Linked DNA regions of Astyanax mexicanus. The protein of the gene in region 1 interacts with the protein of each later gene in a pairwise test. Links are inferred from orthologs where the notes say so. Each region holds a gene or a part of one and is shown on either strand. Other genes may lie near its edges. The genes, in order: rint1, fam81b, cwf19l2 and neuronal migration protein doublecortin.

Evidence for each region.
Region 2: the proteins of rint1 (region 1) and fam81b interact in binary tests that used the Homo sapiens proteins (3 or more experiments, as listed by UniProt). The two-hybrid records come from large-scale screens. The link is inferred for Astyanax mexicanus from reciprocal best matches to the Homo sapiens genes RINT1 and FAM81B.
Region 3: the proteins of rint1 (region 1) and cwf19l2 interact in binary tests that used the Homo sapiens proteins (3 or more experiments, as listed by UniProt). The two-hybrid records come from large-scale screens. The link is inferred for Astyanax mexicanus from reciprocal best matches to the Homo sapiens genes RINT1 and CWF19L2.
Region 4: the proteins of rint1 (region 1) and neuronal migration protein doublecortin interact in binary tests that used the Homo sapiens proteins (3 or more experiments, as listed by UniProt). The two-hybrid records come from large-scale screens. The link is inferred for Astyanax mexicanus from reciprocal best matches to the Homo sapiens genes RINT1 and DCX.

Annotation. Positions count from the first base shown.
Region 1 is NC_064409.1:11,969,144-11,976,353, forward strand, and holds the start of rint1 (RAD50-interacting protein 1), read right to left. Parts: upstream 3,005-7,210; 5' UTR 2,958-3,004; coding exon 2,730-2,957; intron 2,303-2,729; coding exon 2,061-2,302; intron 1,383-2,060; coding exon 1,209-1,382; intron 924-1,208; coding exon 783-923; intron 531-782; coding exon 374-530; intron 1-373. UniProt on the Homo sapiens protein: Involved in regulation of membrane traffic between the Golgi and the endoplasmic reticulum (ER); the function is proposed to depend on its association in the NRZ complex which is believed to play a role in SNARE assembly at the ER.
Region 2 is NC_064429.1:25,519,774-25,527,441, reverse strand, and holds the start of fam81b (protein FAM81B), read left to right. Parts: upstream 1-4,657; 5' UTR 4,658-4,704; intron 4,705-6,880; 5' UTR 6,881-6,900; coding exon 6,901-7,086; intron 7,087-7,668. Other genes in the region: mctp1a (multiple C2 and transmembrane domain-containing protein 1), read right to left, coding at 1,503-2,060.
Region 3 is NC_064425.1:12,510,941-12,518,681, reverse strand, and holds the start of cwf19l2 (CWF19-like protein 2), read left to right. Parts: upstream 1-4,732; 5' UTR 4,733-5,001; coding exon 5,002-5,094; intron 5,095-5,755; coding exon 5,756-5,866; intron 5,867-5,961; coding exon 5,962-6,084; intron 6,085-6,529; coding exon 6,530-6,637; intron 6,638-6,819; coding exon 6,820-6,939; intron 6,940-7,255; coding exon 7,256-7,349; intron 7,350-7,741. Other genes in the region: lrrc51 (leucine rich repeat containing 51), read right to left, coding at 394-454.
Region 4 is NC_064408.1:1,766,176-1,773,593, reverse strand, and holds the start of neuronal migration protein doublecortin, read right to left. Parts: upstream 3,023-7,418; 5' UTR 2,897-3,022; intron 1-2,896. UniProt on the Homo sapiens protein: Microtubule-associated protein required for initial steps of neuronal dispersion and cortex lamination during cerebral cortex development. May act by competing with the putative neuronal protein kinase DCLK1 in binding to a target protein.

The DNA.
Region 1 (7,210 bases):
TAAAAAGAATAATGTTGAAATATTAAAAGCAAAAAGTAGATTTATTTACTTTTTTTATATGTAAACAGTAACCTACATTTATAACCTACTGCTTATTAATACTCTAGTACAGTTTAATAATACAGTGTCCAGATTTTGCAAGAAGTCGCTTGCGCTTCTTCTTCGGCACCCCGTAATATTAATTATTATTAAAGATTAAACCTCTGTTTTTGGTAATTACCTTTGATTGCTGGGGACTGAAGTCTTTATAAGAAATTGTGCATTGTTTTACATTGTTTACACTTCAGAAAAAAATATATATAATTTCCATTTTTTAAAAATAAGACTGGCTGTTACATAATTTGTAGGAGAATAGTGATGTGCACAATCTAACCTTGTTTAGTGAGTTGGTCTGGCGGTTCCCAGTGAAATGATACCTAAACCTCTTGCTGAGGGGCAGTAGCATGATCTGAATAGGCAGCGAGAGTGGTGGGGTCTGTGGTAAGCCTGGACGAGTGGGCAATTCCTTTTTCTCAGATATAAGATCGTCACTGGGACAGGAGTCAAGTGCAAAGATTTTTCCATTCAGTTTCATGCATATTATGTTGTGAATATTTTGTTGCCTAATTTTGTTGCATAATAAGATCCATTTATCACATGATAAAAAATACACTGTCTTATTGTCTGCCTAAAACAAAGGGCTGCATTGCTAATAAAAGAAGAACTGTGTGTGAGCTGCTGACCGTAGCACAATGGTTAGTGTAGATGTACGTTTATGTGTGTCTCTGTGACACAAAGGATACGACATCTGCAGGGAGAGGAGCTGAGACACCAGGAGCTCCAGCTGGCTGTTGAGCTCCTGTGCATTAGCTGGAGGAGAGAGGGACTGGGTCGGGGGAGAGACTATCGGCCAGTGTAGCTGTGTCAGCACCTCCTCAAAGTCACTGAGATTAAGAAAAACAAACATGACAAATTTCATCAACAATTTCTTTGAATAGCAGTCAATTTTATTTAATATTATCCCAACAATAACAGCAAACCCAAATCAATTACCATTAGCCAGCCTGCTCTCAGATTTTGGAACAGATTTTATAATTTATAACATTGACATTAAAAGGGCATGTTTAGTCCCTGACATGGGGTTTAACAAAGTAAAAACATTAAGAATATATTTGCTAACTTCAAAACTCTGAATGTAATTATAATATTATATAAAACATTGGCAATACCTTGCAAGCTTGTCTTTCAGGATCTTGTGCCAGAAGTGCAATGTTTCTCGAAGGAATGCTTGTAGATGTGAGCAGCCCGACTCTTGAAGGCCCATGTCTAGAGTGGCCATATTGCCCACAGCTCCAATTGCCTCCCAAACACTGTTAGTCATCAGGAACTGCTGAATACTGTCACTGTTCAAAACATAGAGCAGCCATGACAAATCACAAATCACAAAAAAGAGAGGTAAATGTCTAGAATGTACACTCCCTGGATATGTATGTATGCATCTCTACAGTATATATGATTGATATGATAGATGGATAAATAGATAAAAAGGATATTGGGCTGCAGAGCACACCCTCTCATTACTCCCTTCTTGGAGAAAAAAGCAAGACATTTTTTTCCTCATGCAAGCCATCTATGAATCCATCCATTCATCCATAGATCAATAAATCCATCCATTCATCCATTTACAGACGCAGCCATTCAGGCTTTTATCCATGCAAAGATCCATCTATCAGGGATATATATGTTTGAGGCTATTTCTAGAAAGTCTCTAACGGATTGCACGTAAAAATATTCAAAAGGCTCTTAGCATGAATTGGTTTTATTGCTGTGATTCAACAATTTGACTTTTCTAGGCTCTTACTAATACTTACAGGTAAGATTTTCTCATTTTTTATTGTTTCTAAATTTCCAGGTTTTCCAGAATGCATAGGAATGCTCTCTATACATACGTGGATAGGTTTTTTGATTGATGAATGGATGGATAAAAACTTACTGGGTCCACAGCCTTTTCTCTCACCACTATCTTGATCAATCATGACTGGATCAATAATTACAAGTGTTAATTTTGCTGTATTGCTCACCTAAGCTCCTCAATGCGAGCCAAGCACTGAAGGTACTTCATGTGCCTTTCCAGCGTGTCCAGCTGTCCAAGTGTTTGTCCTAGGCTGTCGGCCCAGCTCTGAGCTCCCTGCAGATGCTGCTGCAGCGTGTTGGACAGGAGCCTCTCCTTCTGGAGCAGGACCTCCAGCTTCGTCCGGGCCTCCTCTGCTGCAGACAGAGCAGCAGATACACGCAGAGGCACTGAGCTGGATACAGTCAACACCTGCAGGAATAAAAAGGTCAGCCAGTCAGCGGAGACGTTATGTCTATAAGGTTGAACTAGACATATCATGAAAACACATTGCTCACACTGCTTAGTATATAAAACCATCTGTCTAAAAAAAAATAGCACCTTTTATTAGATAGTGATTTATTTGTAAATGAAAATATTTGCACACACACACACACACAAACACACACACACACACACATGTCTAGGCAGTTTAAGATATCCAAATAAATCAAACACACAGTGGACTGTACTGTATTTCTGAATATAGTGAACTCTCTCTCTCTCTCTCACACACACACACACACACACACACACACACACACACACACACACACACACACATACACACTTTAATGCTTTTTAAACAGTTGAGGTAAGAGAGAGGTCAGTCAGTAGAGCTGATGCAGGGCTGGTTTACCTGCTCCTCCAGTAACATGTTCTCTGCTGTCAGTTTCTCCAGAAGCCCCCCAACTTTCCTCAGAGACTTCAGGTCTCCTCCAATCTCCCTCTGCAGCAGCTCCGCCACATGCTGCTCCACACAGCCCCCGACCCCCTCAGCACAGCTGGATCCGGGCTCGCTTTTATTCACACCGCTATCTTCACCATTCATACTGTTATTATCCTGCTCCACAGCGGCCGCCGCCATGTTTCTCCCTCAGCCTGCCCACGTCATCAGCAGCAAACGCTCTCGCGCGCGCCCTCTACTGGAGAGAGCGCGGGAAAGCATTTACATTATAGAATAAGAGTCCCTTTATTTTCTCAAGCATGCTACATACAGTACTAGTGCATTTCAAAAAAATTAAATATCATGCAAATTTACAAAAAATTGTGAAAATTATATAATACATAGATTTATTTTAAGCGTTTTTTTGTTCATGATTATGACTTACAGCTAATGAAAACTCAAAAATCAGTTTCTCAGAAAGTTAGACTATTATCTAAAACCAATTAGTTCTTTCGGCAGTGTGCCAAGTCCTGCTTGAAAATAAAATTTGCATCTCCATGAGTTGTCAGCAGAGGGAAGCATAAAGTGCTGTAGGGTTTATCGGGGTGATGATAATTTGCAGTTTCTGAGGCTGAAAATCTGATTAATTTATCCTGTGCAACAGGTAACTTCAGATATTCCTTTCCTAGGGCGGTCCTGATGAGAGCCAGTTTCATCATGACGTTTTTTATGGTCTTTGCGATTGCACTTGAGGATAATGTGTTCTTTAAAATGTATTCAGATTGACTGACCTTCATTTCTTAAAGTATTTGTTTTCTTTAATTAGTTGAGTAGTTCTTGCAATACTATGTTTTACTTAAATAGGGTATGTATACTACTGTATATCAACTCTACCTCTTCACAACTTTACAACTGATGGTGGTCTCAAACACATTAAAAGTGCTAGAAATTCAAGTAATTATCTCTTGATTATCTCAGCACAGCTGTCAAGAAATACTGAAAGTCATTCCAGGTGCCTGTTTCTAAAATATAAAACATATTCTGGTATGTTTAACATTTTTTGTGTTTAATGATTAATTCCATACGTTTCTTCACAGTTTGAAAGACTTCAGTATTAAGCTACAATGCAGATTTAAAAAAAAAAAATAATCAAAACCACTGAAATTAGGGTGTGTTCAAACTTTTGACTGGTGGTACTGTATGTATGTATAATTTTTACAGTTAAAAATATTTTATGTAATTTCCAGTGTTATGGTCTGTTACTCTGTTACTTCTGATAAAAAAAAATATAATAGAAAATCTGATCAAAAATATGTGATGTCATGTCCTCTGGCAGTTTTTAGATGCTTCTTGTGGAGGGTAGCACATGGAATTAAGGCACAAAAGTGACTCTGTCAGCTCTGTTAATGGTTTAAATAATTTAAAGAGTTTAAACCACTAGTAAAGGTCTTTTAAGGCTGAATACAGTTGTTACTTCAGAATAATATGAAAATTAGGCTAAAAAAGCTCAAAGCTAACATGAGATGATTTGAGATGACCTAAGGAAAAACAGATGTTAGCATGTCTAAGTAGTCTTGGGTCTTCTTCTTGAGGGAAGTGGATGGAAAGGATGATGGCTGGGGTGAGAGGGGTCAGATATAATCTTTCCAGCACGCTTTGCGACCATACTGCTATATACGCACTGAAGTGTTGGTACATCCAGTGATCCAATCTGCTGTGCTGATTATCCACAGGAGTTTGATTCATTCTTGTGAGGGAGACAACGAATGATGTGAGGATGGATGTGATGATCACTGTGTAAAAGTGGATCCTCACTGGCATGGCCTGAAGGCAGGTTTAATTACTTCAGCTGCTTTAGGAAGAACATCCACTGCTGCAGTTTCTGAATATGATGGATATAATGATGACCAGAAACTGGAGTGACTCCAGAGTGGAAACCTCAGCACCATGGGTGTCTGTGGGGGTGGGTCTAAAGTCTGGTCTACAGTCATCTCTACAGTCTTTTGTGTCTTCGGCAGCAGGTGGTTGCTGCCGCACCAGGGCACCAGCTGCTCAACTTCCTCTCTGTAGGCAGACTCATTACTGCTGGTTATGAGGCTGACCATAGTGGTGGTGTCCTCAAACGTCAGATTCTTCACAGATGAATCTTTGGAGATGCAGAGCCTGAAGAGCAGGGGGGAAAGCACAGGCTTGTAGTACTCCAATACAGAGAGTCCAGATGTCCAACGTGTTTTCCTAACCCATATGCTGCCTCCTGTTGGTCAGGAAATCCATGATCCATTGGCAGATGGGATTTGGCACTGACAGCTCGCACTGCTTGACCTGCAGATGCTCTGGCACAATGGTGTTAAAAGCTGAGCTGTCCACAAACAAAACTCTAGCGTAGATCCCTGAACTGTGGAGATGCTGTAACATGGAGTGCAATGCCAAATTTATTGCGTCATGGACAGACCTGTTTGCTCTATACACAAACTGTGGGGGGTCCAGCAGAAGATCTGAAATTGCTTTCAGGTGGTCTAGGACCCGGCATTTAAAAATCAGAACTTTTTCTTCTTTTTCTTCGTACTCTCCCTTAGCAGATAATCATCAATATTGTAGCAACATAGAATGCTGACAGGGAGAATTGATAAACAACTGGTTCAAGTTAATTTTAACACTCTGTGGCAGCTAAATTAAATTAAATAAAGTGTATTATACCAGTGTATTCAGCTTACTTCTTCTTCACAAACAGGATGTTTTCCAGGTGAAATATGCAGGCTGTACAGGTCTAGGATAATAGCATTAGCTAAAGTAACTTAGCATAACTTTTATTTGTTTTCCAAACCATCACTGCTTGTGGAAACTTCACCCTAGACCTCAGGCAGCTTGGACAGATACTATGGCTGTAATCCATAATAACAAACAATAAAAAAATAAACACTTAAAATAGATCACTCTGTGTGTAATACATCTAAATAATATATATGTTTCACATTTTAAACCAAATTACTGAAATAAACTAACTTTAATGATATAACATTTTTTTGACTGCACTAGTATATACAGTGGAGACACTGTTCAGGTAATTTTGTAATGTTTATTCTCTGACATTTTTGTATAATTTAGTTGTTAAGAAATCTGTTTCTTTGCTATAGTGTAAATAGAAACCAGGGGTCACAATGAACATTAAGAAAGCCAGTGTACTATTCAAAAAGGCCAGAGGATGCATGCATAACATATAACGTTACCTAACACCCTTCATTTAGCTCTCCACCACTAACTAGAGTTTACTAGAGTATAACATGTTTTAAAAATGTGTGTTTACCATTGCCTAATGAAATCTTTTTGGCTGGTGTTTTTACTTCTGTTTGCTGATGCTCTAGTGTATGTATTTTCTGCACACCTTTGTGTGTGTTCCTCTTTGCCATCTGTCTGCTCATTAGACTAGGTTGCTTAACACCTTTAAGGGTGCCCAGTGTCCATCTTGCAGGCCTGTGCTTGCTTTGGATGGCACGATGGACCTGTCCTGGAGGATGTTTGGCTTACAGTGAGCTTGCCAAAGTAAACCTAGGCTGGAGCAACAGCTGTAGAGCCATCCATAAGCTGTCCCACCATGCTGTTCCCTCTGTTTAATTCCACAACAGAACCAGCCCTAACATGGTGCATCATCGATCTCATTATGTAACTCGTACTCAGACTAAGGGGGTGATTTGTTGAATGGCTGTGGTGGGAACTGGGTATCTACTGAACATCCATACTGGCTCAGTAAATAGGAAACACACTGCTCAATAGCAGTACTGGTCACATTATGTCAGTATTGTGACCAGTATTTTGTCCCATTTGTGAATGTTTTGAACTGGTTGCTTAGCAGCAGCAATCATAGCAACAGTTTGCTAACCCACAACCCAGCAAACACTAGTCTTGTTAAACTAACCACTGTTTTTGGTTGAACACCATTTGTGGGGATTAAAAAAAAAACGTTTGGCAAAGTGCATGAATGTGTGCATGAATATAAGGTGCAGAACTTCTAAAAAAAAAAAAGCAATGAATAGAAAGGTGTGTTTGTTTTGTGGTTGAATTAACTAAGGACTGAAATAAAGTAACTTAAAAGTAAACATAATAAAATAAAATAAAAACAGCCTTCTTCTTCTTCATCACCTCCTGCATGGCCTCTCAGTTCTTTTATGACTAACGACTAAAAAAAGTCATGAAGTGTGCGCCTGGTATAAGCTTTTGATCTGTTTTCCCAATCCATGAACATGACCAGTGGCAATGGTACTCTTTCTGGAGGGAGCTCTCTTGTGCACCACTATGCTGATTCAAGGTTAGCACAATGTTAACAAACAACATTAGTTAACTGATTGTTATGCTGCACTACAATTAAATATTTTATTCGTGCTGTCCATCTGTTTTTTGTGCGTGCATTTTTGTTTTTTTGCACTGGAACTACAATTTTAATTTAGTTAAGACAATAT
Region 2 (7,668 bases), on another chromosome or scaffold:
TGACATGATAAGGCTCATTTAAATCACTCTATTTGCATATCAGTGAGCTTTTAAAGAATGCAAGGCACTTTTCCCAAAACACAGGCAGCAACAATTACTTTTCTTGGTTAACTTTCTCTAAAATCAGAAACCAGGTTTTTACATGTGCGACAAGTGATGTCTTACATAAAGGACCAGTGTGTGGAACTTTTTCTAAAGAAACTTTCCAAAACCAGACACTATAGAATCCGGGATTTAAGTTTGCCATAGTCGGCATGTTACAAGAATGACCAACATGGAGTACTTTCTCCAAAACCAGACATTATAAAAAAACAGGGGTGGCATTTGTCACAGGTGGAATGTTACACTAATGACCAACCTGGAGAGGTTTCTAGAAAAACAAACAACAAAAAACATGTTTTTCACAGGTGACATGTTACAGGAATGACAAACATGGAGCACCTTCTAAAAAAAAAAAAAAAACAAGCAACAGAAACCGGGTTTGAAATTTGTCACAGGTGACATGTTACAGGAATGACCAACATGCAGCACTTTCTATAAAAAAAAAACAAGAACAAGGTCTAAAGAAAACAAAGGTTTAAAGTTTCTAGAAAAAACTAGAAGGAATGACCAACATGGAGCACTTTCTTTAAAACCACACACTATATAATCCAGGTTTGATGTCTGTTACAGGTTACAGGAATGACCAGCATGGAGCACTTTATAGAAAAACAAGCAACAGAAACCATGTTTGAAGTTTGTCACAGGTGACAGGTTACAAGAATGACCAACATGGGGCACTTTCTTCAAAACCAGACACTATAGAAACAATGGATGAAGTTTTTTTTACAGGTGACATGTTACAGGAATGACCAACACAGAGCACTTTCTAGAAAAACAAGCACAGAAACCAGGTTTAAAAATTTTAGAACAAAAATCTAGAAGCTTGGAGCACTTTCTTTAAAACCCAACACTAGAAACCAGGTTTGAAGTTTGTCACAGGTGACAGATTACAAGAATGACCTACATGGGGCACTTTCTTCAAAACCAGACACTATAGAAACAGTGCGTGAAGTTTGTCACAGGTGACATGTTACAGGAATGACCAACATGGAGCACCTTCTAGAAAAACAAGCAACAGAAACCAAATTTGAAATTTCTAGAAAAACAAATCTAGAAGCTCGGAGCACTTTTTTTAAAACCCAACACTAGAAACCAGGTTTGAAGTTTGTCACAAGTGACATGTTACAGTAATGACCAGCATTAAGTACTTTCTTTAAAAAAACAGGCAACATAAACCAGGTAGGTTATACTTTACAGGAATTATCGATATGTGCAATTGTAGAAATATAACTGAAGTGTGTGCTAAAGTGTTTAAAACTGTAAAAATGGGTAGTTAACTTTCTCGAAACCAGCCTAAAATCCAACAGGAACAAGACAACCTTCAACTAAAGTCATAGTGGGACCCCTTCACCCCACACACACGCTCTCTCACAAACACACACACACTCTCTCTCTCTTACCGAGTCACTGGCGTTCTTGGCCAGCTCATCCTCACTGGAGGCTGCGGACTCCACCACCAGCTTCTCGAAGCACGCCGAGCCCAGGGACGAGCTCTTCTGCTGCTGGGACAGAGCGAGGTGGGCTACGGTGAGCTGCGGACTGCCGTGAGCCGAGACGGGCAGCTGGGGCTTGGTAACCGCGGCTCTTCCTGCTCCTCCTCCGGCGGCTCCGGGCGTTCCGGACGCGGCGGGGCTGAGCTCGGCTTTAGCGGTCAGAGACGGCGAGGGAGAGGCGCTGAGGTTGGGCTGGGAGGACGAGAAGACCCGGTCCAGCGCCTGTTTCTTTTTCCGCTTGAACATCCACAGACCTGTCTCCTTCTTACTGCCTCCTCCACCACCACCTCCTCCTCCTCCAGCCCCTCCACCGTCCACCCCGCGCCTCTCCGAGCCCAGCTTGGGGCTCAAAAACGGCTTAGTTTTCTCCTGGAAATTCCTCCACATCCTCCGCTGGTAGGACGGCGTGTCGTGTCCTTTAGCGCTGCCGCTGCTGCTGCTCTCATCCCGGGGTTTCTCATCCATCCTGCCCGAGCAGCAACCCGCCAGTCTGCTGCGGCTGAGGAGAGTGACACACACACACTCACACACTGCCACACACACACACTCACTCACAGTGTGTGTAAGAGAGTGAGAGAGAGTGAGAAAGGATGGAGTCTATATCCCAGTCCTAAAAAAATAATAAAAAACTCACTAATAATAAACCAACCAAGGTCCTACAAGGTCTTTCAGCTTCTATTAACTACCACACCCCCCTAATATCCTCCTCCCACTGACAGATAGATAGAGATAGACAGACAGGCAGGACTCTCCAGATTCTCTCTCTCTCACACACACACACACACACACACAATCACACTGTGGACCAGAGCTAAACACGCCTGCAGCAGCCTCCAGCACTAACTCCAGCACACACACACACACACATTCACTCACACACTCCCCCTCTTCATCCTTCTAGTCCTCCTCTTCTCCATCCTCCTCCCCATTATCATCACCCTGCTCATTCCAACCCCCGCTGGACCACCTCACACTTCTATTGACCACAAGACTTAAAGTTTAAGGGCACAATAAAAGCACAGTGAGGCTCCCTCTTCTGGACAGCCAATGCCATTCATGATTACAGGATGAAAATTCTTTCAAGGAATGTTGTTGATTATTGTTGTTAGTTATAAGAGAAGTGTGTTTGTGTGTGTATGTGTGTCAAACACACCAGATGTTGTTTATGTGTTTCTCAGAAACAGAGGATATATGAAATATCATGTGCATTTGATCTGTATTTAGAAGAGTCATATGCCAACTGACAGTCCTGGTGTTCGAGAGTCTTGGTCATGTGCATAGATTGGCAGTGTGTGGTCTTGGTCTCGGGGGATTAGGTAGGATAAAAGTTAAACAGCTAGTGAAGTTTTGCTCTATTTCAGCAATCACTAGGAGTATGCATATTTGGAAAAGGCCCTGTTTTCTTTATCCATAAATTGAGAAAACATGAAATGTTGTAACACCCTGTATGAACTGTATGTCACTATGTTTGGAAAATTTCCTGGAATATTTTGTTTCCTTATTGTTTCTTATATTGTTTATGGAAACAAAATATATAGTAACATGCACTTCACGTCCATTTCTTAAAGTAATCTATATTCAGATGAGAAGTTCTTGCCATAATCTGGATTAGAACATTACTCAAATAGGGCTATTCAATGTATACCAACTCTACCTCTACACAACTTTACAGCTGATGCACTCGCAAACACATTAAGAGGACAAGAAATTCAGCAGCTGTTAACTGAAAGCCAGTCCAGGTGACTCTATCCCTCATAATCCATTAAAGATGTGCAAAACAGAACATCGTTTTTGTTTACTAAATGATTTATGTTGTTTAAGGTGTGTCCAAACTTTTGACTGGTACTGTGCACATGTTTGTTTTTTTTTGTTTGTTTGTTTTTTACATATTATTATTACTACATACAGATACACACGATACACACATGCGGCTATAACTGATATGTTTACAAGTACTGTCAAGGCTTTAGACTGAATTGATTTCAAAGTTGTACCTCTTGGTGTGGGATTAACACTAAATGACCACTCAATTGATCCAACTGAAGAGTCAAATCCAGGGCAATCCACTCAAACGGTAAAACAAGTCTCTGAGAGACTTGCGTCAGTGATTATGATCAGACCAGAAATCCTGGGTCCAGTAAATTAAACAGAGAAAAATAAGTCCCTTTTGGGGTAAAGTGCTATAATGTTCGGAAATGATGACATTTGCACTTAGGACTAGAAAGCCTTTTGCCACTTATGGACAAAGCTGGTGTAGTTTAATAGGTAATGTGGTGACACACAATGTCTCTGTTGGGAGAAAAGTGCTGGTAAACAATAGGATTATTCATACTTAAGTTTATCAGGACACAAAGACATTGGTTTTACTTGATTTGTATGTGTATAAAAGACTGTATTTTACTTATGTGCAGGCTACATTTAATGTTTTGCTGTGTTAAATAGGCCCTTACAACAAATACCGTGTATATGGTATATCAACAATTTCTCCCCTTTTCCTTAACTATTGTAAGTTACATTATTTTGTTATTTTTCCATGAGTGTTTTCATAAATCTCTAAATTAAGCACATTTTATTTTGTAGTGTTAAGGGGAAAAGTTCAAGTTTAAAAAAAAAAGGATATCTGATTTCTCCCAATAGACAAGCTTAAACATCTACTTTAGCATTAAGACATTCTCACATTCTAATATTTATCAGAAATGCTTTTTATTCTGTGTTAGAATCCACTAGTACCAACTAGCCTAATCTAATAAACTCTTTCCCTCTCACACTTTAAGGTCTACTTTCCCCAAACACAAATTAGGCCTAGTTTTACACTAAGCTGCAGTGACAAAAGAGAATTATTACTGGGCATCCTCTCTAGTCTAGACTAGAATCTTCATCTGGGTCTGGGAATCCGGCCCTCAGGCTGATTGGAAGGTGATTTACTGTAAGTGTACGAAGCAGTAAGCTCAAATTAAATTCCACGGTTCAGATGGAAATGTGTAAAACATTGTCCAGTTGTCAAGCCCACAGACACGCCCCTCCAGAGCACTTAGTGCTGTATCTAAGAGATCGATCCAAACAACAGACTTACAATTCAGCCAGCAGATGACAGGAGGCTGATCTTGAAGTGAGTACTGGATCAGAATCTAAAACATTTTAGGCATTTAAATGAGCTTCTGTTTATTGGCTGACAATGAAAAATCTTGTTTTCACCTAAAGCCTGTTGCTTTTATTGGCCTTCTTCTCATCAGACCAGCATTTCGCTCAAGATACAAAATTTTCTTTCCAGGAAAGGCTGTTTGATTAATATGCAACATTAAGGTAATTAAGCTGTATTAAGTTTTCTATACCTATATGAACCCTTTATAAAACTTATATTTACATACATAAAGCGCCGAAACAAATAGTGGACCATTTCAAAGTTTTTCTGATTTTGCTATTTATAGATATATGTTTGAGTAAAATGAATATTGTTGCTTTATTCTATAAACTACTAAAGTTTCTACCTAAATCCAAATAAAAAGTCTTATACAGGATTTATTTGCAGAAAATGATAAACGAAGAAAATTACAATAAAGATGCAGAGCTATCAAAAGTCAAATAATGCAAAGAAAACAAGTTTATATTCATTTTAAAACAACAACAATATCAATGTTTTGATTCAGGAAGACTTCAGAAATATTTGTTGGAATAATCTGATTTAATAACGAATTTCATGCTTTTCGTTGATCTTATGCCAGACACAAAAATTTAAGCAGTTCAGCTTTGTTTAATTGGCTTGTAACCATTCATCATCAGTGGGGTTCAGGTCTGGAGATTGGGCTGAGCATGACAGGGTCTTCTTTTCGCACGATATAGCTTTAACTTACAGATTTGTGTCTTGCACGGTGATCTGTGTTCACATTCAGTGATTTCTGGAAGTATTCCTGAGCCCCTGCAGTGATTTCCAGAATCATGCCTGTTTTTAATGCAGTACCACCTGAGGGCCCGAAGATCACCAGCATCCAATATTGACAGTCTGTTTTTTTCCTTTGCACACAGGGTTTCTCCAGATACTCTGAAGCTTTTAATGATATAATGTACTGTAGATGGTGGCATAATGAATGTCCACAAGATCTGTTGCTCTTTTTATTTCGAGTCATGAGTTATTTGCAGATTGCTCCTACTGCAGCTGTTTTTTTTTTATTAATACCACTTTTTTGCCCTGTACCAACATTTTTTTTTCATTATTTTTTTTGCAATGAAATAAATGTCAAAGTAAAAAATTTAAGCACTGAATATTTATTTTATTTGCATTTTACATACCATCCCAAATAATTTAAGGTTGTTAAAAACATGCATTACAAGGTCATCAGTGTGATCACTCCATATAACCCTTGTTGGCACCTTTATTTTTAAAACCGAGAATCGCACCTCCAATACCAGCATGTAGGGAAAGACCCTGCTGATGTTGTCTGCTGTTAATTAAACTTCCCAATCAAGGTGTTTAGCTCTAAATGTTATGACACTGACCCCTGCATAAGCACTGACCTTTCCTTTATTTGATTCTGACATTCTGACACTTGAACTAACCCCTTTACCTGAAGCGCTCGTTTGTGTGACACAGCACACAGGGGCAGCTAATCAATGGCCGATGTGGTTTGAGGAGGTCCTCAGGCTTTAGCCACAAAATTGAGCAGTTTTTTTTTTTTTTTAACAGAAGCACTGCTCATGTTCGGTGCCTCTTCAGCTTTGAACATGTTGCTCATTTTGGGTGATTTCCAAGACTCACGAACGTGGCCTACGACTATTACAAGAGCAGCTCAATGTTCTGCATTGTAGAAAAGTACAGTACCTCTCCCACAACTAATCTCCAGCCTAATGTTACTAACATTACATAAGCTATAGATAGGTAAAACACACTATAGTCATAGATCTTAATAAAGTCTCAAATTTATTTGTTTGGAGACAATAATTTCAAAGAACAAAAAAGACTCTTTTTATCTGACTTGCGAGCATCAGGGAGCCGTTATTGATATGCGGTAGATTCCCGCAACTTTCGGTAGACTTGGTACATCTGCAAAATGCTGTGTTTAAGAAGATATTTAATTCGAATTAACAGTATACTGTAAATAAATTATCCATTGTTGAATCAACTCTTTTAGTGTTAAATTAACCCAGTGGGTGTCAAAATCTAACACTGTTAGTGTTGGTTTAAAACTGGTAAATGTACTGTGTTCTTTCAGGTTCTTACAATGTAACCAACATTCTAACCCGTAGGTTATAAGTAAGGATAATAAAAGATATTTTATCCTTTTATAAAGGTCAGTAAACTTACTCAGAGATGACCACACAAGAGCGAACCTTGACCTCCTTGATGCAGCAGGCCTTCCAGATCAAAGAGGAAATGGTCAGCAGCCTCCATGCCACCCAAGGATCTGTGCTGATGGAGGCGTCTGCAAGGAAACTTCTAGAGAATCACATTCAGACCATCACACACATTGTCAAACAGCTCAGCAAGGACATTCAGGTCAGTGGAACTTGAGTTAAATGGTGAAAAATAGTTTCTGATCTCTTACCACCTTGTTAACTTGCATCATACAGTGCCTGGCCAAAAAAAATGTAAAAGTAAATGATCTGGGGTTGTTGCTGCAGTTGGTCTGCAGGTCTAGGTTCAGCAACAGTATGTGCTGAAAGAATGAAGTCAGCTGACTGAATACCTGAATATACTGAATATAGATCATGCTATTCTATCAATGGATTAACAAGCATATTCCAAGATAACAATGCCAGGATTCATGGGGCTGGAATTGTGAAAGAGTGGTTCATCAAGGAGCATGAGATCATTATTTTCACACATGGATGGACAGAACTTAACCTCATTGAGAATCTTTGGGATGTGCTGGAGAAGACTTTGTGCAGTGGTCAGACTCTACCACCATTAATGCTGCAAGATCTTGGTTAAAAAATAATGCACCACTGGATTAAAATAAATTTTGCGGCACTGCAGAAGCTTATTGAAACAGTGAATGCATGCTGCAATAATCAAAGCTAAAGGTTTTTTCTGGTAACCACAATTTTTTTTGGTTACCAGATAAAAAGGACTCTACCT
Region 3 (7,741 bases), on another chromosome or scaffold:
TGAGATATGGCTGAAATAACAAGTGCAGATCTTTCAGACTTCAAATAATGCGAAGATAACAAGTTGAGAAATCAATATTTGGTGTAATAACCTTGGTTGTAATCTTGGCTTCTTCTCCTCCACCAGTCTTACACACTGCTCTTGGATAACTTTATGCCACTTCTGCTGCAAATATACAAGCAGTTCAGCTTGGTTTGATGGCTTGTGATTATCCATCTTCCTCTTGATTATATTTCAGATGTTTTCAATTTGGACAAATTAAAGAAACTCATCAGTTTTAAGTCGTCTCTTATATTTTTCCATGGCTTTAAATACATATAATATATATTATATATGCAATCTGTGATAAAATAAATACACTGATTTATTAACTTGTTTTTATAGTTGTCTTACCTGCTAGCGAGCTGAGTTGTTTAAAAGAGAAGTCCAGTGGAGCTCCGTTCATTTTGAACATCCAAACAATGTTAGCTAACAAACAAACTAAACCGGTATTTAAACGGTAACGTTATCTCTGCTGACTAACAACAGGCTAACATGCTAACCTAAAGTAAAACTTGTACAACTCATAACCAAACCGAAATAAAAAAAATAAACAGGCCAACAGGGTGTATTTCACCTCAGCTGGACTGTACTGGATTATAAAATATGATGCTCACAAAATGTTCACTCCTAAGTAATCAAATAATCACAAAAACTGAATTTACAACATTTTACAATAGATAGCTAACCTAGCTACTTTTTTAGCTTTGTAAAGACCAATCACATTACCAAACAGCTGGTTACCAAGGAGACCGCCGCCGGTGCATCACGGTAAATGTTGTTTTTTATAGTGGAGGAATTTGGACTTATTTCCCCGCTCTGTATTGGCTTAATGCTGTTCCTGAATAAAATACAATTTAGAATTTAGAATAATTTATCAAAGCAAACTAATAATAGGAAACGTTATAATAAAAACAAGAAATAAACTAATATAACAAAAACAATAATAATAATAATAATAATAATAATAATAATAATAATAATAACAACAATAATAATAATAATAATAATAATAATAATAATAATAATAATAATAATAATAATAATTATTATTATTATTATTATTATTATTATCATTATTATTATATTTAATAATAATAATTTATGGTTAATTATTTACGTTTATTACATTTTTACTGTTTTCTGTGCTAAATTAATTTACTTTATTCATCTGTTGTTGATTTCATTTCATTTGTATTACCTATTTTTTTATCTTATGTGTTTTGTGTCTTATTCTAGATTCAAGATTCAAGAGTCAAATAGTTTATAGTCATGTGCACAGTAAGAAACAAGTTTTCAAGTACAGTGAAATTCTTATTGTATGATATATATTATACTATAAAAACGCTGGGTCTTTTTTCTTTGACAATCTCTACTCTGTATTAGCTCGGCTACTCTTTTATCAAGTCCACCCTCAATGTACTCCAGTTAAAATAAAGGTTGATTGATTAAAATGTCCTAATTTAGGTCTGATGTCTTTAACACTGCCTTGAACAACTTACCCCTTTTACCCGCACTTTGACAACTATATAAAAGTGAAGAATTCAAGGTGGGCTCAGGGTTTAAGGTAAGAATTTAAAAGTGATTTAAATCTTCATACATACAGTGCATACCGCCTGCATTCAAACCTGCTGGTCACACAGGTGCAGCCTGGTTGTGTTAGTGTGCAGGTGAGTGTAGTATCTGTGTGCACCACAAGAGGGCGACACAGAACAGTGATTTTAGGTCTGTAGATCTTTTCTTCTCCAGATGTTTTCCAGCGTTGGTGGTATAGTGGTGAGCATAGCTGCCTTCCAAGCAGTTGACCCGGGTTCGATTCCCGGCCAACGCAGAACTTTTAAACTGTACTACAGAGCCTAAACCACCATTGAAGACCTCTGCATGTCTCTAAGCACAGTTGTGTGACTTCTCTTCATAATACCCCTTATGTGTAAACTGACCTGCTGCAACGTGGTGCTGATTTGTTACATTTTCTTTTCAACTTACTAAAATAACCGTAGTAAACATTACTAAATTAGATTATATAATGTATTAAAAGCAAAAGCAAATAGGCTTATGATAAAGTAAACTAAATGCTTGTTTTTGTTTGTTTGTAAATTCTATCTCTTTTCTCTCCGGTTCCACCCTACAGTACAGCACATTTAGGGACAGTTACCCAGACTAACCTTAGACCTACAAAGCATTTTGGATGGGGATTTTCCTCTAAAAGGAAAATATATTCTAGAATAGTCTATAAAAGTAGTTGTAAGGTTTTTTTTTGTTGTTGTTCCTCTTGTTTATTTTAAAAGTATTAGTATTTGTGAATTTCCAGTTTCTCTGCTAGGGATTAAGACTATTCTAGCACTAGATGGCATTTTAAATGAAGATTTTTTTATTAACTGAAAGAAAAATACAGTCTACAACTAGGCTTAGTGTTTAGGTCTTATCCATGAAAATATATATTTTTTGCTCTCTGTCTTTGCCCTGGGTTAACAGGACACAAATTCTCACAATTTGTTCTAGGAGTACTGAATATCCAGTATTATTTAAAGCCCGACTTTAAATAATCCAGATTACTTGCGCCTAAAGTCAAGTTTGTCTTATAACAAAAGAGTTGAGGGGCATTCCTATTGGCTGGTGTTCAACTATGGGCTTTAGAAATCTGTGTAACTGAGAAACTGAGTCAGATGCAGTGCAGTGTGAGTGTAGTATCTGCGTGCGCCGCTAGAGGGAGGCAGATCAGTATGTTTATTCAGGAGGTTAGTGAGGGAGTGTGGAATGCAGTGATTTCAGGTCTGTGGATCTTTTCTTCTCCAGGTGTAATCCAGCGTTGGTGGTATAGTGGTGAGCATAGCTGCCTTCCAAGCAGTTGACCCGGGTTCGATTCCCGGCCAACGCAGAACTTTTAAACTTATCTTAATAGCCTAAACCACAAAAAAACTCTGTATGTCTCTTAATACAGTTATCTGACCTCTCTTCACATAGACAGTGTATACACGGGTTCAATAAGAAAATGAAGATAATAAATAAACTGCCCTGCTGTCTCAAGATGTGTTTTTGTGAAAATGCTAATGGGGCAGTTTCCTTCCCAGGGATCAAGACTATTATTATACTACACAGCATTTAAAAAAATGAAAATTCTGTCTTTGCTATGGGTTCTCAATTTGCTTTAAGAAACAGAAGATATCCTTATATATATCCTAAAGCAGGATTGTCAGTTGTCCAGATAACTAAGTCTGTCTAAAAATAATAGAACTGAAAGGCATTTCTATTGGCCAGTGTTTAACTTTGGGCTTTAGATATCTGTGTAACTGAGAAAGTGTGCTTTGTGGTAAATCTGTCAGGTTCTGAGAGATATATGTAGTGCAATTGTACGGGACTGTGGTACCTGTGTGCGCCGCTAGAGGGAGACAGATCACAGTTTTTGTTTATTCAGTATGTTAGTGAAGAAGTGTGGAATGCAATAATTTCAGGTCTGTAGATCTTTTCTTCTCCAAATGTTTCCCAGCGTTGGTGGTATAGTGGTGAGCATAGCTGCCTTCCAAGCAGTTGACCCGGGTTCGATTCCCGGCCAACGCAAAACTTTTAAACTTTATTAAATAGCCTAAACCACTAGTAAAAAACATCTGCATGTCTCTAAACACAGTTATCTGACATCTCCTAATGATATCCCACATATACAGTATAAACGCAGGTACATGAGAAAGGGAAAGATGAATAAAATATGACCTGCTGCCACGTGGTTTTGTATTTGTTAATGCAGGACATTTATCCTTACAGTAACCATCAGGTTTCACTTCTCTTTCTAACAGTTTACAGCTGTGTTTCGGAGCAGTGTACATACTTGTAGTTTATTATTAATGTGTTGTAATTACTAGAACCTTTAATTATTATTTACTATTGTTTTATTGGCTTATACATTCAAAAGTTTCTCATTTAATGTTACATTGTACATTTCACATTGAAGATTTCATTAAAGTTATACAGGAACACATACAGAAATGTTCAGTGTTTTAGTAGAGTGAGGGAGTGTCACCTGGAATAGTTTTATCAGCGTCTTGGAGGAGTTCATGTAGGTGCTGAACGATAGTTGCTTCTTTTCCTTCACGATGTGAAGCTCCAGCTCATCCCAAATCACCATCTCAGTTGATCAGGTTTAGGTCAGGGGATTGTGGAGGACAAGAAAACTTTTTTACTGTTTAATACGTAATTCCATACGTGTTTCTTTATTGTTTTTATGTCTTTAATATTAATCTACAGTGTATAAAGTAAATTAAATAAAAAAAACTTTTGACTGGTACTGTATGTATCTCGATGTAATATGTAACTCCAATGCAGAAGTTGTCTACTTGCTAATCAATAAATATCATATGTTCAAAATAATAAAAGGAGTCACTCGCCAAAATGAAGTATAACAGAAATATAACAGAAGTTTTTTCAGTAAGAAAGGCAAATAAAAATCTTTTTGACATCAATAACATAAATAAAATGCAATGACTTTATTTGCAATTAGAACTTTCTTTCAAACATGACTTCTATTTAACCATAAACTACAGTTTATTTATTTAATTCAGGACTTTTATTATACAATTAGACTTTTATTATATTATGAGACTTTTATTTTACCTCTCGATCGCTCCCTTGAACACTCCGCCATTTCCCTCGTGCGGAAAATTTCCGCACTTTGTTTGGCTGAGACCTGTTCATGAGGCTTCTGGGTATTGTAGTTGCAACTATAGGTACCTGAGTCGTGTGCTGTTTATATCAACGCAGAATTTTAAATATATAGAGAATTATTTATGGAAATATAGATAATTATTGATACATATTGGCACTTTAGAGTTTCCGAATCTTATATTAGAGTGTAAACGTGTCGGCAGCGCCGCTAAAAAAGAAAATAAAACATAACGGTCGACGTGAGGACTACAGCAAGCTGAACATTACGACATCTCAAACCGCTTTACGACTGTTTTCGTCGGCGTGATGGCGACGTACGGAGGACGATTTGAAAGCAAGACGAACATCGAGGAGAGAAAATCAGAAAAGAGGAAACAGAGAGAGAATGTTCTCCACCAGGTAAACTCACCTGGACACACCTGAGCACACCTTACACTGAGCTACAGCTGATCCCCCAGCAGATAGAACTGATCCTCCACCAAGTGACTAAAGGTAGAGCTGATCCTTCACTAGGTTACTAAAACTAGAGCTGATCCTCCACCAGGTAACTAAAACTAGAGCTGGTCCTCCACTAGGTGACTAAAGCTAGAGCTGATTCTCCACCAGGTGACTAAAGCTACTCTTCCAGCAGGTGACTGAAACTGATCCTCCACCAGGTAACTAAAGCTAGAGCTAATTCTCCACCAGGTGACTAAAGCTAGAGCTGATCCTCCACCAAGTGACTAAAGCTAGAGCTAATTCTCCACCAGGTGACTAAAACTAGGGCTGATCTTTCACCCGGTGACTAAAGCTACAGCTGATCCTCCACCAGGTAACTAAAACTAGGGCTGGTCCTCCATCCGGTGACTAAAGCTAGAGCTGATCCGCCAGCAGGTGACTAAAGCTAGAGCTAATCCTCCACCAGGTAACTACAACTAGAGCTGATCTTTCACCAGGTGACTAAAGAAGCTAATATAAGTATAGTAGATTTAGCACACAAAGCAAACAGAACCATAAATACACCTGCAGAACCAAAGAATGAGATGTTCTTCAGTTCTCTCTGTCCCTCTCTTCCCCCCAGGCAAAGAAGAAGTATGAAGATGAGGAGCGGAGGGAGGCAGAGAGGAAGGCCCGAGGTGAACACACCTGGATGCTGCCAGAAATTGACCAGCGTCTGCAGGAGATGGGCCAGGTAAGTGGGTGTGGTTAATCACCTCTGAAGTCTTAATTAATCATCTGTATTCGGACTTGTTTACCATTCAGATTTGTTGTGTGTTTTGTATTCAGGAACATTCTCTGAAGAAGAAGAAAAAGGAGAAATCCAAAAAGAAGAAGAAGGAAAAGAAAAAGAAAATGAAGAAAGAAAAAAGCAAACAGCAGGAGGAGGACGGCTCGTCCGACAACTCGGCGGTTTGTTTCTTTACATGTTAATCCCGTCCCCAGCCTGTGTGTGTGTATCTTGTCTCTTTGGTGTGTATGGATGTGTGTGTGTTATCTTTTTTTTTCACTGGTGTGTGTTTATTTGTATCTTGTGTCCTTGCTGTGTGTGTGTCTATTTTGTGTCCTTGGTGTGTGTGTGTGTTTCTGTGTGTCTTCTCCTTTGGTGAGTGTGTGTTTATTTTGTCTCCTTGGTGTGTTTGTATGTTTATCTTGTCTCATTGATGTGTGTTTGTGTAAGTGTGTCTGTGTATCTCATCTTCTTGGTGTGTGTGTGTATGTGTATCTTCTGTGTGTATGAGTGTGTAACTTGTCAGTTTGTGTGTGTATGTTTATCTTGTTGCTTGGTGAGTGTGTGCATGTGTGTATCTTTTGTATCGTTTGGTGAGTGTGTGTGTGTATTCTCTTGGTGTTACAGGACTCCGATGAATGGGTGGAAGCTGTGCCACAGTCAGGGGGCGTGGAAAAAGCTTGGAAGGTTGCAGAACAGGCCACACCCACTGCCAGTTCAACCAGTAATGACCAAGTAAGAAACACGCAACAGCATGCAAACACCCAGTGCAAATATACCAGTACTCACTCACTCACTCACTTACTCACACTCTCTCTCAGTCTCTCTCTCTCTCTCTCTCTCTCTCTCATATACACACACTCTAACACACGCACATGCACCTGTGCTAGTTTTGACAGTTTTTGTTTGTTGAACAGAGAGATGAGTGGATGACATTTGATTTTTTGGCCATGAAGACGACATCTGTTGCCGAGCGACGAGCACAAAAGGAGGCAGAGAAAGAGGCGGAGCGAGAGAAAGAACGCTCCATCGAACAGGTGTGTGTGTGTGTGTGTGTTTGTGACAGACATACAAAAGTGTGTGGAAATGCTCACTTGCAAGCTGTAATCCTGAAAGCATATGCTATTAAAAACAACTACAACTGTGTAATTCTGCCCATTCAGGATACAGTAGTTTAGCTCTGGTCTTTTAAAAAAGTAATTATAGTATGTTTGGAGCTAAGCCTGTTTGTTCTATTAATGTTTGTATATGTATAAAGTGTGTTGTTTTAACTAAATAATGTTAACAGTGAATTTAGATGAATATATTGGTAGTAAAAGTGTGTGTTTGTGTGTGTCTCCCTCCATTTATCAGGCCGGTCTCCACAGGCTGGAACTGAACCCTTACTGGAAAGATGGAGGGAGTGGACTGCCTCCAGAGGAGACTGCTGGTACTGTGGTTAAAAAAGGTAACCATAATAAAGCAAATAAAACATAAAAATGATATTGAGCATCCCCGCTGAAAGGTCAGTATATCTTCTGTATAAAACATGATTTTTGGAATCAACAAAAAACGACACTCGAAACAGTTAGGCTTTGTATTTCTGACTAATACAAATATAACCAGCATATCGCTGCCTTGCCTAATCTAAACTTCAGTCCAATCTGGCCAAATCTTTATGCCTCAACTTAACATGCCTCATCACCCGCCGTTCCACCAACACGAGTGAGTGGTGAACATTCTTAAGGTCGACCTGACCTAATATGAATACTGGTCTCAGCTTGTTCAGTTAGCCTGTTCTAATCTCAAAACAGGAGCCATAGTTTAATAGTTAACCCTCTTGAAACCCACAAATATCTC
Region 4 (7,418 bases), on another chromosome or scaffold:
TGCTTTGCTGAGCAAGGCCATAGCAACCACTTGGCAACTGCATAGCAACTACATGAGATACCGAACCATCTGATTTTCCTTAGCAACTCCATCGAAACCACCATTGAGACACAGAATCACAGAAACTGCTAAGTAACACCCTATCAGCCACGTAGCTAATGCATAGCAATACAATACAAATGCTTATCAATACCATATATAAACATACTCAGAAACATATATTATTACATATTATGATAAAATGTATTATCATACAATAAAATACTAAAAAACTACATATTATAAAAACACGCACATACACCAGTGTGTTTTAGGGGGCGTGTGATGTTCCTATGATCTTGTGATCTTCTGTATCTTCTGAAAGTCTAAACACCACGGTGCTCCACCCAACCCGTACTTCAAAAGAAAAGAATCTGTCCATTGAATTAAAACTCTATTATATTTCTGTATTGAGTCACCAGGTCCTCTGATCTGCGCTAAGCTCAGGAAACTGTATTGTCCATGCTAACTCAGCGTAGCATACATCTGAAACACATCAGAGTTTTACTTTAACCTCTGCAAACAAAAGATTTTTTTTGTATGAAAAGCTGCATTTACGAAACGTAACCCCATAACCACCTGGACAAAACCTAAAGATGATGCAATTCTAGTCTTTACAAGTCCAGGTTTCTCATTTTTGACATCACTACAAACAAAGAAGATGGAAGCTAGTTGGCTAAAGGTTTAGATCAGATTTAAATGGCTTTTACTCGTTTAAACCCTGATAGCAAAAATGCTTTTTATGGCTATTTCTTGGCCAAATACCACATGCCAATCCTGAGTTGCATTGCCTTAATTCTGGCCCAAATGCTGAGCTGTTCTAACATCTAGAACAAGTGTTGTACCCCGGCTGCTGGGTATAATATAGCAATAATGCTAAACCACATGTGCCTAAGCTCGTGCCACCACCCTGGTTGCAGAATATGAATATGAACTAAAAGTCTAAATTAAAAAAATACTTACACAACAACTACCCACAAACACAAATCAATCTATATATACATCAAATCAAGGTGGACTTGGACCCCCAAACAATATATACCCAAGTATAAACCTTAACCATCCAGCTACAGCCAAATATTCATCTATACATCAAATATGGGTGGATTTGAAACGTATAAAGGTATGATTATGTCCAAACAACCAACCCAAATAACCAAATGTTCATGCATACATCAAATAATAAAGCATGGAAGGGAGGGTATACATGTATACCTCAACCACCCAAGAAACCATGTATCCAACCATGTATCCTTCAAATTGGGGTTGTTGTAGGTCCCACAAAGCCTAAATAACTACACCAGCCACCTCACAACCATTCATCCATTGGGCCATTGAAAAGCCTAAGTACTTACAATATACAATATACCTACCCAAAGCCCCATGCACAATATATACCTTAAACATTCCACCAACTATCAAACCATTGGTTCATATATCCATCAAATTTGGGTTTAATTGGGTACCAAAAAGTCCAAATAAATATACACCTGCCACAACATGTTCATATATATATAAGGCGAAAATATATACCCCAACAACCAAACACTCCTCTATACCTTAAAATTCATGAATATATATATTTATTAACCACCATACAGTTCTGGAAAAAATAAAGAGACCATTTCAGTTTCTGAATCCATTTCTCTGATTTTATATTTGTATATATTTGAGTAAAATGAACATTGCTGTACCCCAAATAATGCAAAGAAAACAAGTTCATATTCATAAAGTTTTGAGAGTTCAGAAATCAATATTTGGTGGAATAACCCTGGTTTTTAATCATAGTTTTTTCATGCATCTTGGCATCATGTTCTCCTTCACCAGTCTTACACACTGCTTTTGGATAACTTTATGCTGCTTTACTCCTGGTGCAAAAATTCAAGCAGTTCAGTTTGGTTTGATGGCTTGTGATCTCCAAACCTCCAAACCATTGGATCAAATATCCATCAAACTGGGGTTCAATTGGGTACCAAAAATCAAGTACCCATTATAAGTATATAACAGCAGTTTTCTTCAACCAGGGGGCCCTAATCCTATATATAAAAAAATCAGTAGCAGTATTAGTTACCCCACTTTTAGCAGATTTTACCCAAATACTCATTTTTAAGAAAATATAGCTCTAAACTGACACTGATATGTGAGAGTTGAGTAAATAAAACACTTTATGATAAAAAATTACGGAATTGACCGCTACTGAGGGTTAAAGACCGTAAAATTGACCGTTATGACCGTTATTCCCTAAACGCGCTGACCGTTCCATTGTACAGAAAGCATTAGCGGCAGCGCGAGCTGCACTACAGCAATTTCTAAGGCAGGGGCTGGCACGCGCGCGCGCGCACACACACAGGCGTGCACGCTCGCGCACACCCCATGCATCAAAAAAGGGAAAAAAGAGACGGTAGCGATTAACATCTAATGACTAACGATTTAAACGCAATCTGTCATTTAATAACAGTCGAATCGGATCTTTGCGGTATAAAACACTATAACAGATTAAAAAGGAAACTTTAACGTTACAGACATATTAGCCATCAATAAAACCAGCACAATTCATAACTTTTATGTAAAAAAAAGATTAATAGACAATTTACTGAATACTCGAATAATCGACTAACCGACAGGTTTTTTTTTTTTTTTTCAATCTCTAGCTGGAACTGCTCCCACCTGCTCACGCACCGAGTGTCTCGCGCCGCATCAAAGCCGTTACGCACCTACAGCAGGTAACACTCCACACACTCTCTCTCTCCCACACACTCCCACACACACACACTCACTCTGAGACTCCAGCACGTGCGGTATAACTGTAAGGTAACTGTAACCAGTGTAAAGTGCCCCGGGTGGGTGCGGTACTTACCCCAGCGCTGGTGCACGCGGAGTGTGTGTGAGGGTGTGTGTGTGGACTGAGTGTGTGTGAGTGTGTGAGGGTGGGTGTGGATGCTGCAGGAGCGCGAGCTGCTCTCCGTGCCTTTGTCTGCCGGTGCTGCCTGCCGGTTACAGCCGCGTGGTCCTAGCGCCGCCCGATCACACACACACACACACACACACACACACACACACACACACACACACACACACACACACACATACACGGTCAGTCAGTGAGTAGACAAACCGAGTTTACGAGGTTCATGCATGACGTCACCCACACTGAGGTGTACAGTTTAGAGGGGGGGGGGGGCAGATTTTCCATTCAGTGTTCAAACCAGACTCTACCCCCCCTCTCTGTCTATCTCTCTCTCTCTATCACTCTCTCTCTCACTCTGTCTCTCTCACTCTGTCTCTCTCTCTCTCACTCTCTCTCTCTCTGTCTCTCTCTCTCTCTCTTTCACTTTTTTCTATCTATTATCAATAAGGACATCAGAGAAACAGAGAGATTGAGTAGAGAGAGATAGACTGGACAGAGAGAAAAAGAAAGAGAGAAAGTGAAATAGTGAGAGAGAGAGAGATAGTGAGAGAGAGAAATAGTGAGAGAGATATAGTGATACAAAGAGAGAAAGAGATAGTGAGAGTGAGACAGAAAGGGATAGTAAGAGAAAGAAAGAAAGAAATTAAGAGAGAGACAGTGAGAGATAAAGAGAGATAGAACGCGAAAGAGTGAAGAAGGTAAGAGGTAAATTGTTGGTGTTCATGTGTTCATTAGTGAATTCATAGTGAATCACTTGTGAATCAGTAGTAGAACAGTAGTGACACTTGTATGTATTTGTAGTGGATTGGTAGTGAATCACTAGACAGTCAGCAAATAATCAATAAAAGATCAGTAAAGGATCAATAGTGAATCGGTAATGAAGCAGTAGAGGATCATTAGTGAATCAGTGGTGAAGCAATAGTGGTTCATTGGTGGTTTGGTAGAAGATCAGTTGTGCTATCCAAACACCATAAGTCTGCACTAAACACCTTCATTCTCCACCAAACACCAACATTATCCTCTAAACTCCATAAATCTTTACCAATAAACACCATCATTGTCCACTAAACAACATCATTACATTATTACATTTTATTGTATTTTTATAGCGCTTTTCAGGAAACTCAAAGACGCTTATTCCCCACTAAACACTGCCATTGTCCACTAAACACCATCATTCCCCACTAAACACCATCATTCTACACCAAACACCATCATTCTCCTCTAAACAACAACATTCTCCATTAAACATCATTATTCTACACCAAACACCATCGTTTCACACCAAACACATCATTCCCCACTAAACATCAACATTCTCCAATCAAACACCAACATTATCTACTAAACACCATCATTCTCCACTAAACAAACACCATTCTCCGCTCAACACCATCATTCTCCACTAGGCACCATAATTCTTCACTAAACACCAACATTCTCCATTAAACTCCATCATAAACTACACCAAACACTTTCATTCTCCTCTAAACACCACCATTTTTTACTAAGCCCCATCATTCTTCACAAAAAAAAACTGAACACTGTTGTAGAAATGAAAATGAAAGGTGGGCTACCCCCACCTCTCATCCGGGGTACAACTCCCCAGATACGTCAACACCAACCTTTTCCAACTTAACACCATCATTCTACAACAAATACCATCATTGATAGTAGTGAACTCACGCTCAGATCTTCATCAGTTGATAAAGGTGTCTCAGATGTTCTCCCACTGATCACCTGGTCGATACTCCGCAGGTAATAATCACCTGGCTGTGAGGTAAAGAATAGGCTCTCTCTGATTGGCTAAACACTTTTTTGTGGTTTAAACACAAAGCTCCGCCTTTATTGACAGTCTCGTTCGTGTATGGTCTATAAGTTCAAAGCTCTTGTGGTGAACATTTTCAAAGTAAAGTACACATCTATACATTAAGTGATTGATCTTTTCACGCTAATAAACACATTGTAGCTCTTTTTTTAGAAGAAAGTGACGTTCTCCACTCAAAGATCAAAGGCGAAACATGAGCATATGGTGGATCTTTAAACTTATCTAAATATCTAAATGATCTAATTTATGTTGAGATAATGTAAACTCTTAATAACAGCAAAACTGTATGAATGGACATCAGCTGTTATAAGTTGTGATCCTTTGTTTTTACCGCTGTGTTTTAGCAGAGTTCTACTCTCCTCCGAGCTTCATTATTGGATTTTTTTTCCCAACATGCACCAGCAGTTCAGAGCTGCAGTGTGAAGCTATTTTAAAGTGGAACATGCAGAGAACCTAATATAATATCTGGTTCTAGACTTAAAAACCAACGGTTCCGTAAAGATCCATAAAGAACATGTGTGTAGATAATTTAGACTCTTAATAACTCCAGGTATCTATCCATCCTTCTGTCTGTTTGTTGGTCTATCTATCTTTTTGTCTATACGTCTACCTGTCTGTCTTTTTGTCCATCTATCTGCTTGTCTATATATCTATATGTCTGTCTGTCTATCTATTGTTTGTCTGCCCATATATCCATCTATCTCTCTTTTCCTCTTTCTATATGGGTCCATATATCTGTCGGTCTATCTATCTGTCTGTCTGTCTGTCTGTCTGTCCATCTATCGTCCATCAGTGTAGATATATTCAGAAGCTCTGCGGCTATTTAAAGCAGGCAGAAGGAAGGAGGAACTCCAGAGGAACATTCCTGATGGATGAAGATCCACACAACTGTCCTAATCCTCCTACAGGGCGTGTCCTAGTGCACACTCAGCACCACCACATTACTGCTGAGATATCTGTCTGTCTGTCTGTCTGTTAGTCTGTCCATCTATACATCCTTATAGCTGGTGGTTGGTCTACTGTCTGTTTGTCTTCTGTGTATATGTGTGTCCATAAGTCTGTCTGTCTATTTATTAATTTGTCTGTCTTTTTGTCCATGTATTTGCCTGTCTGTCTGCTTGTCTATCTATATTTCTGCCTGCCCATCTGTTCATCCCTCTATCTGTCTGTCGGTCTATCTATCTATCTGTCTTTTTGTCTGTGTGTCTGTTTGTCCAACTATCTATCTGTCCATATATTTGTCTGTCTATCTATTGTTTGTCTTCCCATATATATATATATATGTATCTGTCTGTTCCTCCATCTATATGGGTGTCCATAACTGTCTGTCTGATTGTCTATCTGTCTGTCTGATTGTCTGTCTCTCTGTCCATCTGTCTGTCTATCTATATATCTGTTATCTGCCTGTTTGTTTTTACATCTATTTGCCTTTTTGTCTATCTGTTTGTCAATGTATTTGTCTGAATGCCTATCTATCTGTCTGATTGTGTCTGTCTGTCTGTTTGTCCAACTATCTGTCTATCTGTCCATACATCTGTCTGTCTATTTATTAATTTGTCTGTCTTTTTGTCCATGTATTTGCCTGTCTGTCTGCTTGTCTATCTATATTTCTGCCTGCCCATCTGTTCATCCCTCTATCTGTCTGTCGGTCTATCTATCTATCTGTCTTTTTGTCTGCTTGTCTATATTTGTCTATATTTCTGCCAGCCCATCTATCCATCCTTCTATCTGTCTGACAGTATATCTATCTGTCTGTTTGTCCATCTATCTGTCTGTCTTTCTATCTATCTGTCTGCCTTTCTGTCTGATTGTGTCTGTTTGTCCAACTATCTATCTGTCCATATATTTGTCTGTCTATCTATTGTTTGTCTTCCCATATATATATATATATATGTATCTGTCTGTTCCTCCATCTATATGGGTGTCCATAACTGTCTGTCTGATTGTCTATCTGTCTGTCTGATTGTCTGTTTGTCAATGTATCTGTCTGAATGCCTATCTATCTGTCTGTTTGTGCATCTGTCTGTCTGTCTTTCTATCTATCTGTCTGCCTTTTTTTATCTATCTGTCTGATTGTGTCTGTCTGTCTGTTTGTCCAACTATCTGTCTATCTATCCATACATCTGTCTGTCTATCTATTGTTTGTCTTCCCATATATATATATATGTATATGTATCTGTCTGTTCCTCCGTCTATATGGGTGTCCATTTCTGTCTGTCTGATTGTCTATCTCTTTGTCTGATTTATCTACCTGTCTATATATCTGTTATCTGCCTGTTTGTTTTTACACCTATTTGCCTTTCTGTCTATCTGTCTGTTTGTCAATATATCTGTCTAAATGTCTATCTATTGTTTGTCTTCCCATATATCCATCTAGCTGTCTGTTTTTCTGTCAATATGGGTGTCCATATCTGTCTGTCTGATCGTCTATCTGTCTGTCTGTCTATCAGTCTAATTGCCTGTCTGTCTGTCTATCTATCTATCTATCTATCTATCTATCTATCTATCTATCTATCTATCTATCTATCTATCTATCTATCTATGGTGGTGGAGGTCTGTGTTAGTGGAGGGTGTGTGAGCTGCTATGTCATGCTCAGCTGTCTCCTGCTGCATTCCCAGCATATATCTCACACACACACACAC